2 linked regions of the Ovis aries genome follow. The protein of the gene in region 1 binds, or shares a complex with, the protein of each later gene. Links are inferred from orthologs where the notes say so. Each region holds a gene or a part of one and is shown in the gene's direction. Other genes may lie near its edges.

What was found. The genes of interacting proteins can lie anywhere in the genome.
Region 2: MED13 (region 1) and MED26 share a complex: the UniProt entries of both Homo sapiens proteins name them as parts of the mediator complex. The link is inferred for Ovis aries from reciprocal best matches to the Homo sapiens genes MED13 and MED26.

Annotation. Positions count from the first base shown.
Region 1 is NC_056064.1:10,737,692-10,742,694, forward strand, and holds the start of MED13 (mediator of RNA polymerase II transcription subunit 13), read left to right. Parts: upstream 1-1,483; 5' UTR 1,484-2,216; coding exon 2,217-2,282; intron 2,283-4,076; coding exon 4,077-4,311; intron 4,312-5,003. UniProt on the Homo sapiens protein: Component of the Mediator complex, a coactivator involved in the regulated transcription of nearly all RNA polymerase II-dependent genes.
Region 2 is NC_056058.1:6,188,566-6,193,751, forward strand, and holds the start of MED26 (mediator of RNA polymerase II transcription subunit 26), read left to right. Parts: upstream 1-1,883; 5' UTR 1,884-2,144; coding exon 2,145-2,216; exon of another isoform or gene 2,217-5,186. UniProt on the Homo sapiens protein: Component of the Mediator complex, a coactivator involved in the regulated transcription of nearly all RNA polymerase II-dependent genes.

The DNA of each region.
Region 1 (5,003 bases):
GTGCTCAATAATGATTTTTTAAGGTATATTAACAGATAACATTTAGCAAGCACTGTGGCAAACCCTATGTCTGCAATGTTTCATCCACCAGACACTTTAGGAGGAAAGTACTTTTATTATCCCTATTTCACAATGAGAAAATTGAGAGCAGGAGAAATTAATTTGATCTAAAGTCAAATTTGATCCAAGATCAACTAGTAAGTGGCAGAACTCCTCCTGTAGGTTTTTGGCTTCAATATCTGAGGTCTTCACTACCATATATGAATCAATACAGGAGGAAGGCTTTCCAATCTGTGGCTGAATAAGGGGCATAGAAGAATCCACCATCATTTTACAGAGGCAACTAAGATGAAAAATTATGGTAAAGTCCTAACTCGATGATGTCTCCAATTTTTTGAATCACCTTTACTTCTTCCTCCCTCCCTTCTCCCCTCTTCCCTTCTTTTCCCCTCGCTGCTCTCTTTCCTTTCCATCTCTCTCTCTCTCCCCTTCTCTCCCTTCTAAAACTTAGGAAAAACGTCTTGAGTTCCTACTTTGAAGTATGATCCAATCAAGAACTGTAATGTTTTTTGGGAACGGAACGAATATTTTATTTGGCTCCTACTTCTTTCCATTCAGTCGCAAATTCACAAATATCAAGCACCTACTGTGTGCTAGGAACCTTTTTGAGACACTGGAGACGCAGCGGTAAAGCAAAGTAAGTGCGGGTTCTCACGGAGAGATCACTGTCAGTGGGCATTTTACATACACTTGGGTCACTTACTCCTCACAATAACCACACGAGGTAATGATGACAGCAGTAATAGACAACTCTAAGCAGTGTTTATCTGTGCTGGGCACTGGGCTTACCTACGTGTTTTCTTTGTATTAACTCATTTACCACAACAACCCGTGAGGGAGACATGTCTTCCTCATTTCACAGATGAGTAAACTGGAACGCAGGTAAGTGATCTGCTCAAAGTTCGAACTCAGGCAGTGTCACTCTAACTCCCGGGCTGTGAACCACAAGGCTATACTGTTTCATTTATGTTTCCTTCATAATATTCCAACTTTCGAGCGGCCGAGTCCGGTCTCAGAGGATCTGACGCCCAAGCCCAGGGGTTTGTGCCGCACCCCAACGGCCTTGAGGAATAAGTGAGATTGGCTTGGAATTTTTGCAGTACTTTTCTCTTCCACAGAATCCAAACTGATTTCAACGTAATTCTCAGATTTGTGATTTGAACCCTCTGGTACTGTCAGTTGCCCGGTAAGGAGAGAGAGAGAGGGCCAGGGCCCGGGTCATCGCACACTGGCCGGGGCACCCAGCAGATGGCGCTGTCTCGGTGGCCAACAGCCGGCTGCCCCGTCCCCCGGGGCTCAGCGCCTCCGCTTGAAAGCTTCCCGGCCCTCTCTCACTCCCTTCTCGCTCCCCCTCCCCACGGAGCCTGGGCCCACGTGACCTCGAGGCGGCCAATGGGCGAGCAGAGAGGGCGAGCTGGTCCCTGTGGCCGCCATTAAAGCGAAGGGAAAACCCGTGAATTCGGATTAAAGGGGGAAAAACACCGCCCGCTGGGCCCACAAAATGGGGGAGACTACGGCGTCCCGGCGGTGAGGCCGCAGGAGAGCGGACGTTAGGCCGGTCTGGCTCAGGGACGACACGAAGACACAGCCAGAGAATGGTCTGAGCCCGCAGACGCCGCCACCAACCTCCGCCACTGAGGAGACTCTGGGCTTAAGGACATCGCCGCCGCCGGGCCGGGGGCCTGGGCTTCTCTCCCGGCTCTCGCCCTTCCCGCCCCTCTGCGGGCGCCTCTCCGCCCCGGGAGCAGCCTCCGGGGCTCGGGCTCTGCCCTCTCGGACTCGTTTTTAATTATTTATTCTGTAATTTATTATTTTTTTCTGGTGGCAGGGGCACACATCCCCTCCGTCCCCCGAAGAGGGACGAGCGTCCGCGGGCTCCGCGGCGGCCGCAGCCCGGCCGGCGGGGCGAGCGCGGCGCGGCCCTCCCGCCTCCGGCCCTCGGCCCCGGGCGGCTGGGTGCCGGCCGGGCGGCGGGGGCTGCTCGCGGCGGCGGGGGGGTGGGTGGGGAGGGCGGGCGGCCCGGCGGCCTCCTCTTCCACCGCCCCCCCAACCACCACCCCCCCGCCCTCCCCGGTGTCTGTTTCTCTCTCTGGTCGGAGGCGGCGGTAATGGCGGATGGTGGGTTGTGGCGCCGGCGGCGGCTGCTGTGAGGGACGATGAGTTCCTCCTTCGTGCCGAACGGGGCCAGCCTGGAAGATTGTCACTGTAACCTCTTCTGCCTGGTGAGTGCCGGGCGGGGGCCGCGGCGGGCGGGCGGTGGGGGAGGGGCCGCGAGGTGCGCCCTTGGGCCGTGGGGGAGGGGGTCCGGGTCGGATCCAGATGCCCGAGTCCCCGGGCGAGGCCCGGCCCGAGCCGGCGCCGCGGGAGCCCCGCGCCGGCCCGGAGCCGCCGGCCCGGGCTGCCCTAGGAGCGTCGGCCTTTTCTCCCGTTTCCGACACTTTTCTCGCCCGCGGTCCTGTCTCCCAACTTGGGCTCCTTTCCTGGCAGGACAGCGGCATTTCCCTCCTGTGTTGCTGGCTTAACTGTTGCTTGTCTCCTTATTGACCGTGTATCCCTTTTCTGCCACTTTCTATTATTGCCCATTCTCTCCCACTGCCTGGCTCTGCTCCTCTTATTTTCCCCCGATAAACGAGACCCCGGAACTTAGCACTCTTTTAATTTTACGTGCTTGTTCTTTATAAAGATGAGCCAAACTGTAGGGGGTTCGTTTGTTCCTTGGGTGACTTCAGACTCTTAAAAAAACAGTGAATGCCATTCCGTAGTTTTTCTTTTAAACTTTGAAAGCAGTTGGAGATTTTGACAGTCTCTAGCCGACTTGCTTTTATTAGAACATTAGGTTTGTGAGAGTGGAGCGAACTTATGGAAGAGATGCTATGGTTCTGGACTAAATATTTTTATACAGAAGGCTGCTCCTCTTATTGAAAAGTCAAGGGGAAGCTGGCTCTACGGATGGCAGTTGTGTTGGTTGGCCCCGGTCTGGGAACATCTGAATAAAGACTTTAAAAAGTACCAACTGTTGCAAATACTCAGTCTGCAGTTGGATAGGAGCTTAGCTTCATCAATGATTTGAAGTTTCGGTAACTTTCTTTTTTTCATTTTCCCTGTCCTATGAGGAATATTAAGAGTGTGTGATAGGTAAGTGAATTGAGTGGGCGGAGCACAACTAGTTGGCAAGTGTAAACTGCCAGTCATGTATCAGCAGTTTCATTTTTGGCACCTTAAGCTTGCACTTTTAAGTTAGATTAAAAAATTACTGAATTCATGCTGATAATTTCTTTTACGATACTAAATTGAGATCTTGAATGCCTTTCCCCCTTATAAAATGTTTCTTGTACAATATCCATTAATCAGCATCTCTTCAGATATAGTAGACAAACAGCAGGTTTTACATTTCTGTCTTCTCCAACTCAGTCTATTTTTGGTACTTTTAGGATCGGGTTCTTTGAAGATAAGACTAGCACAAATCTGACAGTTCTTTGTGAGCAGCTATTTGACTTTTCCTTAAAGAGATATATATGTAAAGATTTAACAAGAATGTTTTCATTTGTAGTTGAGATTTCTTTTCCTTAAAGCTGTGACGTCTGTAAACATGGAATGATGAATCTTTAAAAGTTAATTTTGTAGTAAGTTTGATACCAAGAAACAAATGTAACCAGTAAGAACAGAATTTAGGACTGAGAGCAAATGTTTACTCAGTGTGCAGTATTAAAGTCTGTGTTTATATTTAACATTATTAAAGCTTTTTAATTTATCCTTGGGACACATTTATTGACTTGTATTCAGTGACATGTCAGTATTAATTTTTTCAGTGTCTGTTCTTTTCCTTTAATTTTTGGTTGTTGAATTATCAGAATAAACTCCCCCCCCCCTTTCTTTTTTGGTCAGTTTGTTTTCAGTATCTCAAGGATATGTTGAAAAATTGTAATGTCTTAATGAAATAGGGGACTTTAATAGTGAGGACTTTCGATTTTGAGTGAATATGCAATAATAAAAAAATCATACTTTGTTTTCCTCAGGCTGACTTGACGGGAATTAAATGGAAGAGATACGTGTGGCAAGGCCCAACTTCTGCCCCTATTCTGTTTCCGGTGACAGAGGAAGACCCCATTTTGAGCAGTTTTAGTCGCTGCCTTAAGGCAGATGTACTTGGTGTTTGGCGGCGTGATCAGAGACCTGGAAGAAGAGAATTGTGGATATTTTGGTGGGGTGAAGACCCCAATTTTGCTGACCTAATTCACCATGACTTATCAGGTGAAAGCAGCTTATCATTTCTAACTTAAAGATATAGCAATGTTGTATACTTTTCCTAAAAACATTTGTATTACAAATGGAGATTTTTTTGGTGGAACATTTGTTTACTGTGAAACCAGACAAAAATTCAGCTTCATGTTTTATTTCACTGCGGTTATTTTATTTTACTGAAAATTATGCATTTTATGGCAGGTTTTTTGAGCCTCGAATAACTATTCTTTCTTCCACCTCCCAGCTTTCTCATGAATTTCTGGCAGACAGCCCAAGGAAGGCATGTTAGTAAATAAAATTAAGAAAAATGGAATTGGGGAGCATTTCCTAACAAAGTCAAAAAATACTTTTGAAACCATGTGTAACTCATCTTTGAGTCAATTCTGCTACTACTCTCTTCTGTGTAAATAAGCACACAGTTGTAGAAATATCTGGAAATATTGTAACTTTCTCATGTGCTTTTTTTCCCCCCTAGGCATATAGTTTTTTCAGTATTTTTATTTGTGGTTGTTACATTATTAACAAATCAAGGCTTATGTTAATTTTCTTATTCTTGGAATGTGATTCTTTTATTTTAGGTACTGTTCCATCAAAGACTGTCTTTGATATGAAACAGTGCCAACTTGTTTAGCTTTTACAGTGGGACATGTGTCATAATCTGAAAAGTTAGGGAAGTAATTTTATTATGAGCAAATTGATAA
Region 2 (5,186 bases), on another chromosome or scaffold:
ATCCCTCGGACAGAGGAGGCTGGTGCGCTATAGTCCGTAGGGTGGCAAAGAGCTGGACACAACTGAAGCGGCTTAGCACATCCACATGGACTTTTATCTACTGGGGACACAGAATCAGTACCCTTAACAGAGCTCACAGTCATCTTAATGTTTCTTCTTAGTTTACTAACAGCAGGTCAATGGAGTGCTTTCCAGATTTTTTTCTTAATCTGAATCATGCTGGGGGGGCTGGGTGGAGCGGGGGTGGGAAGCAGCTTATTTCTAAGGACCCTTGATTTAAAAAGACAAGAAGTTAAAAATAATGGCAGAACCCGAATATACTCGGGGGAGGGCTTCTTTTATCTGTAGTGAGATAAAAAGTATCTCCAAATGGGCTGGTTTCCAACCTGGACACCGTGTACACAAAGCACCTCATTCTAGCAGGGAGAGTGAATAAATTAAAGCGAGGTAATTTGCCCATATTTATTTTATCCTACAAGTGTGATGTAAAACTTTTCACACGTGCAGGAGCAGGCAACCACAACCACGTGGGGCAGCAGCCGTTTTTTGCAAATAAAAACGCTTCCCAGAAGCATGACAAATGGAAGACTAACAGGTGTAGCACAGAGCCGCCGAGGCGCGCATGTGGTTCTCATCAGCTGCCTCTCTCCTGTTTTAAATGTAGGTCTTCCTGTAACAAGAAGAAAAGTTATTTCTCTCGAGGCTGCGGCTAATGATCCACTCACTCACCTGCCTTTCTTACCCGTTTGCATAACCGTATATGTAATAAGAGCTTCCACGGAGAGCCGGCAATGAAAGAAGGCAATGAGGAGGCGAGGGGCCAGGAGAAGCCCTTAGACTTGACATTTAACAGTTCTGGGTTTGATCGGTAACTCTGGGTGACCTAGGGCCTCAGTTTCCTCCTTGGTAAGGGTGTTTCAGTTTTCCAGCACCACCATGCAAAGCAGGGTGGGAAGGTCTTTTAAACCAGTGATTCTCAACAGGGGTCGATTCTACCAGCCAGGTGACCTCTGGCAGTGACTGGGGACATTTTTGGTCCCCTGCAGGAAAAGGGTGTTACTGGCAGAGACCAGGGATGCTGCCGAACATCTTGCAACGCACAGGACAGGCCCTACAACAGAGTGATCCAGCCCCAAATGTTACTGGTGCCCAGGCTGAGAAACGCCGGAGTGGACACAGGTTTGCAACGTTGGTGTCAACTCATGCGGCCTCGGGGCTTTCCTAGCTGCGGTAGCGGCTCCTCCGTGAGACACTTTGCTGTCTCATGTTTTGGGGATCGTAGCCCGAGGCGCTGCAGACCCCCGACTCGCACCGCCCCCTCTGGAGCGTCCCACAGCGCTCCTCAGTTGACCCTTCCGCGCACAGAATTACAACGTGGACGTCTGCCTCCTGGCCTCCCCGAACGCAGAGGAGCTGGGAAGGACCCCGGGGCGCAGGAAACTTGGCAGCTTCTCCCGCCCGCGATTCCCGTCATCTTCGTCAGAATGGGAAAAGCTTTTCTACCCTAGGAGTGAGGTCCTTCATCTGCCCTGTCCGCCCAGAGCGCCAGGGTTCAAGGACTCGGCGCTCACCTAGCGTTTCCGTCGGAAACCTCCTGCCGCCACCCCCTCAACCTCCAGGCTTGGGTGGGGGCGGGGCCTCCAGGCGGCGGCCGTTGCCCCGCCCAACCGCCTCCCAACGGCTCCCTGGGCCAAGCGGTGGGGCGGAACAGAGGTGGGGGCGACTGCGCCTGCGCGCGCATGCGTGGAGTCTAGGGGCGTGGCCTGCAGGTGGCCCCGCCCAGACTCAGCGTCTCTGCCCGCCCTATCTCCCAACCTCCTCAGCGTGGCGCCGACGCTGCGTGCGGCGCGGGTTACCCAGAGTGCTTCGCGCGGGGGTAGCTCACTGGAGTTTGGTTCTCGAGGCGGCGGCAGCAGCGGCGACGGCTCCGGCGGCTCCTCCTCCTCCTCTGGTGGTGGCGGCGCCCCGGGCCTGAGCCCCGGCCCCGGCTCACCTCTCCGTCACCCCGCGCGCCCCCTCTTTCCCCGGCGCCGCGGGGAACATGAGGCTCCGCTCCCGGAGGCCGGCGAGTGAGTGACCCCGGTTCCCCGCCTCAGCCCGCCCGCCCGCTGGCCCGGCCGCTCCCCCCCCGCCTCGCCCAGGCAATGACAGCGGCTCCGCCGTCTCCGCAGCAGATCAGGGACCGGCTGCTGCAGGCCATCGACCCCCAGAGCAACGTAAGTACTCCTCACACGGGTTAAAGTGGAGGCCGCGTGGGCCCAGGACCCTCCCCCTCCCTAGTGCTCCTAGTCCGCCGGGCTCCGAAGGATCCCCCGGACACCCAGCTGCCCCTGAGGGCCGCTGCCATCCCTGTCTCTCTTCCCCCGGGCCCGGGCCGGGGGCTGGTCGGGCAGCCCGGCAGCGCTCGGTACGTGAGGCCGAGGCTTTAATGCGGCCTGGGCGAAGGGAGCAGATGGGAGCTGAGACTAGAGTTTTTCCCCCTCATCCACCCTAATTCTACGACCCTTGCTGTTCCTGACTGTGCTTGCCCACCTCGCCCTTACCATAGTACCCGCGACCCCCGGGAAGCCCTCCCGGCGGGGGGGGAGGGGAGGGGGAAAGGCTGTGAGCAACTGGTGTCCGGGGTAGGACTCGGGGAGCCCGTGCCGCCGGTGTCTCGGCCTTATCGATGAGGAGGGAAGTCTTATTTACCTTGCCTCCCGGCTGGAAGAACCTTTCTGGCTTCGAAGGGAGCCCCCCTGGCCTCCTTTACACCTAGCCGGGTGCCCAAGGCTCGTGGAGAGTCCCTTTCGGTTCTGAGAGTGGACTTGCTTCGCTGGGTCTCTCTTGGGGTCGCTGCCAACGGAAGATGATCTTGTAGAGAGTGGGATTCTTCCTATTACCTTTCTGGGCCTAAGTATTCCTTGCGTATCAGACCAAGGCAGAGCCCCGCTTTTGGGTAGTGAATTAGAGGTGATTATGTGCTCTCCCATTCCACCCAGAGCCCTTCTTCGTGTGCCCCCTACGTGGGGCCCTAGCCTGTTGGTTTGTGACCTAGACAGTCAGGGTTAACCCCAGGGTGTCGATTTCTCAGGTGCTGCTCCACTGAGGCTGCTGTTTGTGGAGGGATCTCCCCTGCCCTTCACCGTGTGTGTTGGGAAGGATTTATCTAATTCTCATATTTTCTCTGAGTGGTTGTCCGTGATAGGGGTTATTTTCCCTTGTGGCCAGAGCAGGTTCAGCAATGGCAAGATGTTGTAGCATCCAGGTATGAAGTGAGCCCCTGCATTTCCTGGGAGACCAGGAAGTGGCCATTGAAACCACTTTAATGTGCTGGGGATGGAAGAAATAAACCATCTTCGGCTTGGCCAGGTAACTTAGGTTTCTGTCACTGTGGGGACTTTTGCTTTTCCTTTACATGAGTTTTGCTGATTACTTTTAGCAGTAGGTTTTAGCCAGCACTGTGGGAATAATTCATGGTTGGATTGTACAAATTTGGTAGAAAGAGAGGAGTTGTGATCTTTATAAGACTGATTTCTGTATCATAAGTAATTCCTGGTCTTCAGGCCCCATGAAGATAGACTTGGTGGTACTTGTCTTTAACAAATGTTGTATACATTTTTGTTATGACTTTGGGGGTGGAGTAGGCACAAGCTATATAAAACCTTGCAGAATTTTTGCAGTAACTGGTGCTGCAGCAATTCCCAAGACTGAAAAAGTAGAGGATAAAACAAGTGAAATGAAAAATGTAGCCTTGATGACTTTCACCTCAGAGTGTAATTTCTCGAATTCCATGTGCTTGTTTGCCTTGCAGAGATTCTGAATGGTTGCTGAGATATTAGCACTGATCCTAATACCACCTAGGAGAGCTTTGGGATCAGGAGGCGCTTTAACAGGCAGTCACCATGTTGTAGATTAGGTGGGGCGGTGACCTCAGGGGTTCCAGTGTTTTGTAAGACTCTAAAGGGTTCCTAGGAGAACAGGAGGAAGAGGGTCCAAGCCCATGGATGTGTTCCGTATCATGGAGTGCACATTTCACGTGGCTTCTCTGGGACGACTCAGAGTCTTACTGATGTAAGTGTAGTGGATAAAATCGGGGTACTGTCTCTGAATATGAGTGATGAGAAAGTGCCTCCTTTAAATGCTGCTGTTGTCAGTGATGTTCCTGGGTGTTGTTACAAGCCATTTGACAGGAGTGTGGCTTGGAGCAAACTCCGCGGAGAAACTCAGAGCTGTGGAGGAATAGGTTGCCGGTAGAGATGGTGTGACCATATTTCTGCAGTTTCTCTTGATTGAACTGGGCCCAGGTGAGAGCTAGGTGGCTTCATCAAGGCATTGCCAGCACACAGCTGCTCTTCTCTGCCTTACCCAAGTAGAAACTCCACTTCTGCATAGTTAGTTGACACATATTTAAGATGCTCCTGGAAAATAAAAATGGGGACAGCGTTGAAGAGCCAACACTAAAATTAAACCTCTTTTGAGACAAGCGACTGAGAATTGTGTCATTAATGCTTACCTTTATGGGCATGCAGTTATGACAACAAACTTAACTTTTGCTTGAAAAGTCAATGTCAGGGAGCTGACTTAATATCCACAAGTATCTAAAAAGTTAGGGAAGTAACAAAGTAACATTTTCTGATCATCTCCCTGACAAAGAGAGTTCTTAAGAGGAAAGTTCTTTGCTCTAAATTCTAGCTTCTGGAGTACTTGAATATCTATAGCATCAGGCTTTGATTTAATAATTTTTGCCAGCTCAGTAATAAATTTTGTACACTTCTTTTCAAAAAGCAACTGAAAGTTTTTTAGAACAGTGGAATCCTTGCTCTTAGCGTCGTATGGCAGCCCAGGGTGTTGAAAATCTTTCCGAAGGGCACTGTGTGCCTTTGTTAATCTTGTTTTGTCATGGATAAAGTTGAGGAGGACTGTTTTCTTCCTGCCCAGAAATCAGTCAGTCCACTCAAGCATAGTCTCATCAGCAAGTGATTAGGTTCCCGTTTGTATTGGACACTCCTTATTTTGCCAAAGTTCGGGCTTTGTCTTCCAGACCAGAGGACAGCCTTCAGGAGGAGTTTGTTTCTCTGTCTGCTCTGTCTAAAGCAGAAGTGTTAGGTGTACTTTCTAAGTGCTGGTTAAACTACTGAACCCTAGACTCCTTCTTGGGTTCTCCAGCAGGAAATCTCAGGACTACATTTCTTCCTCAGTATTCT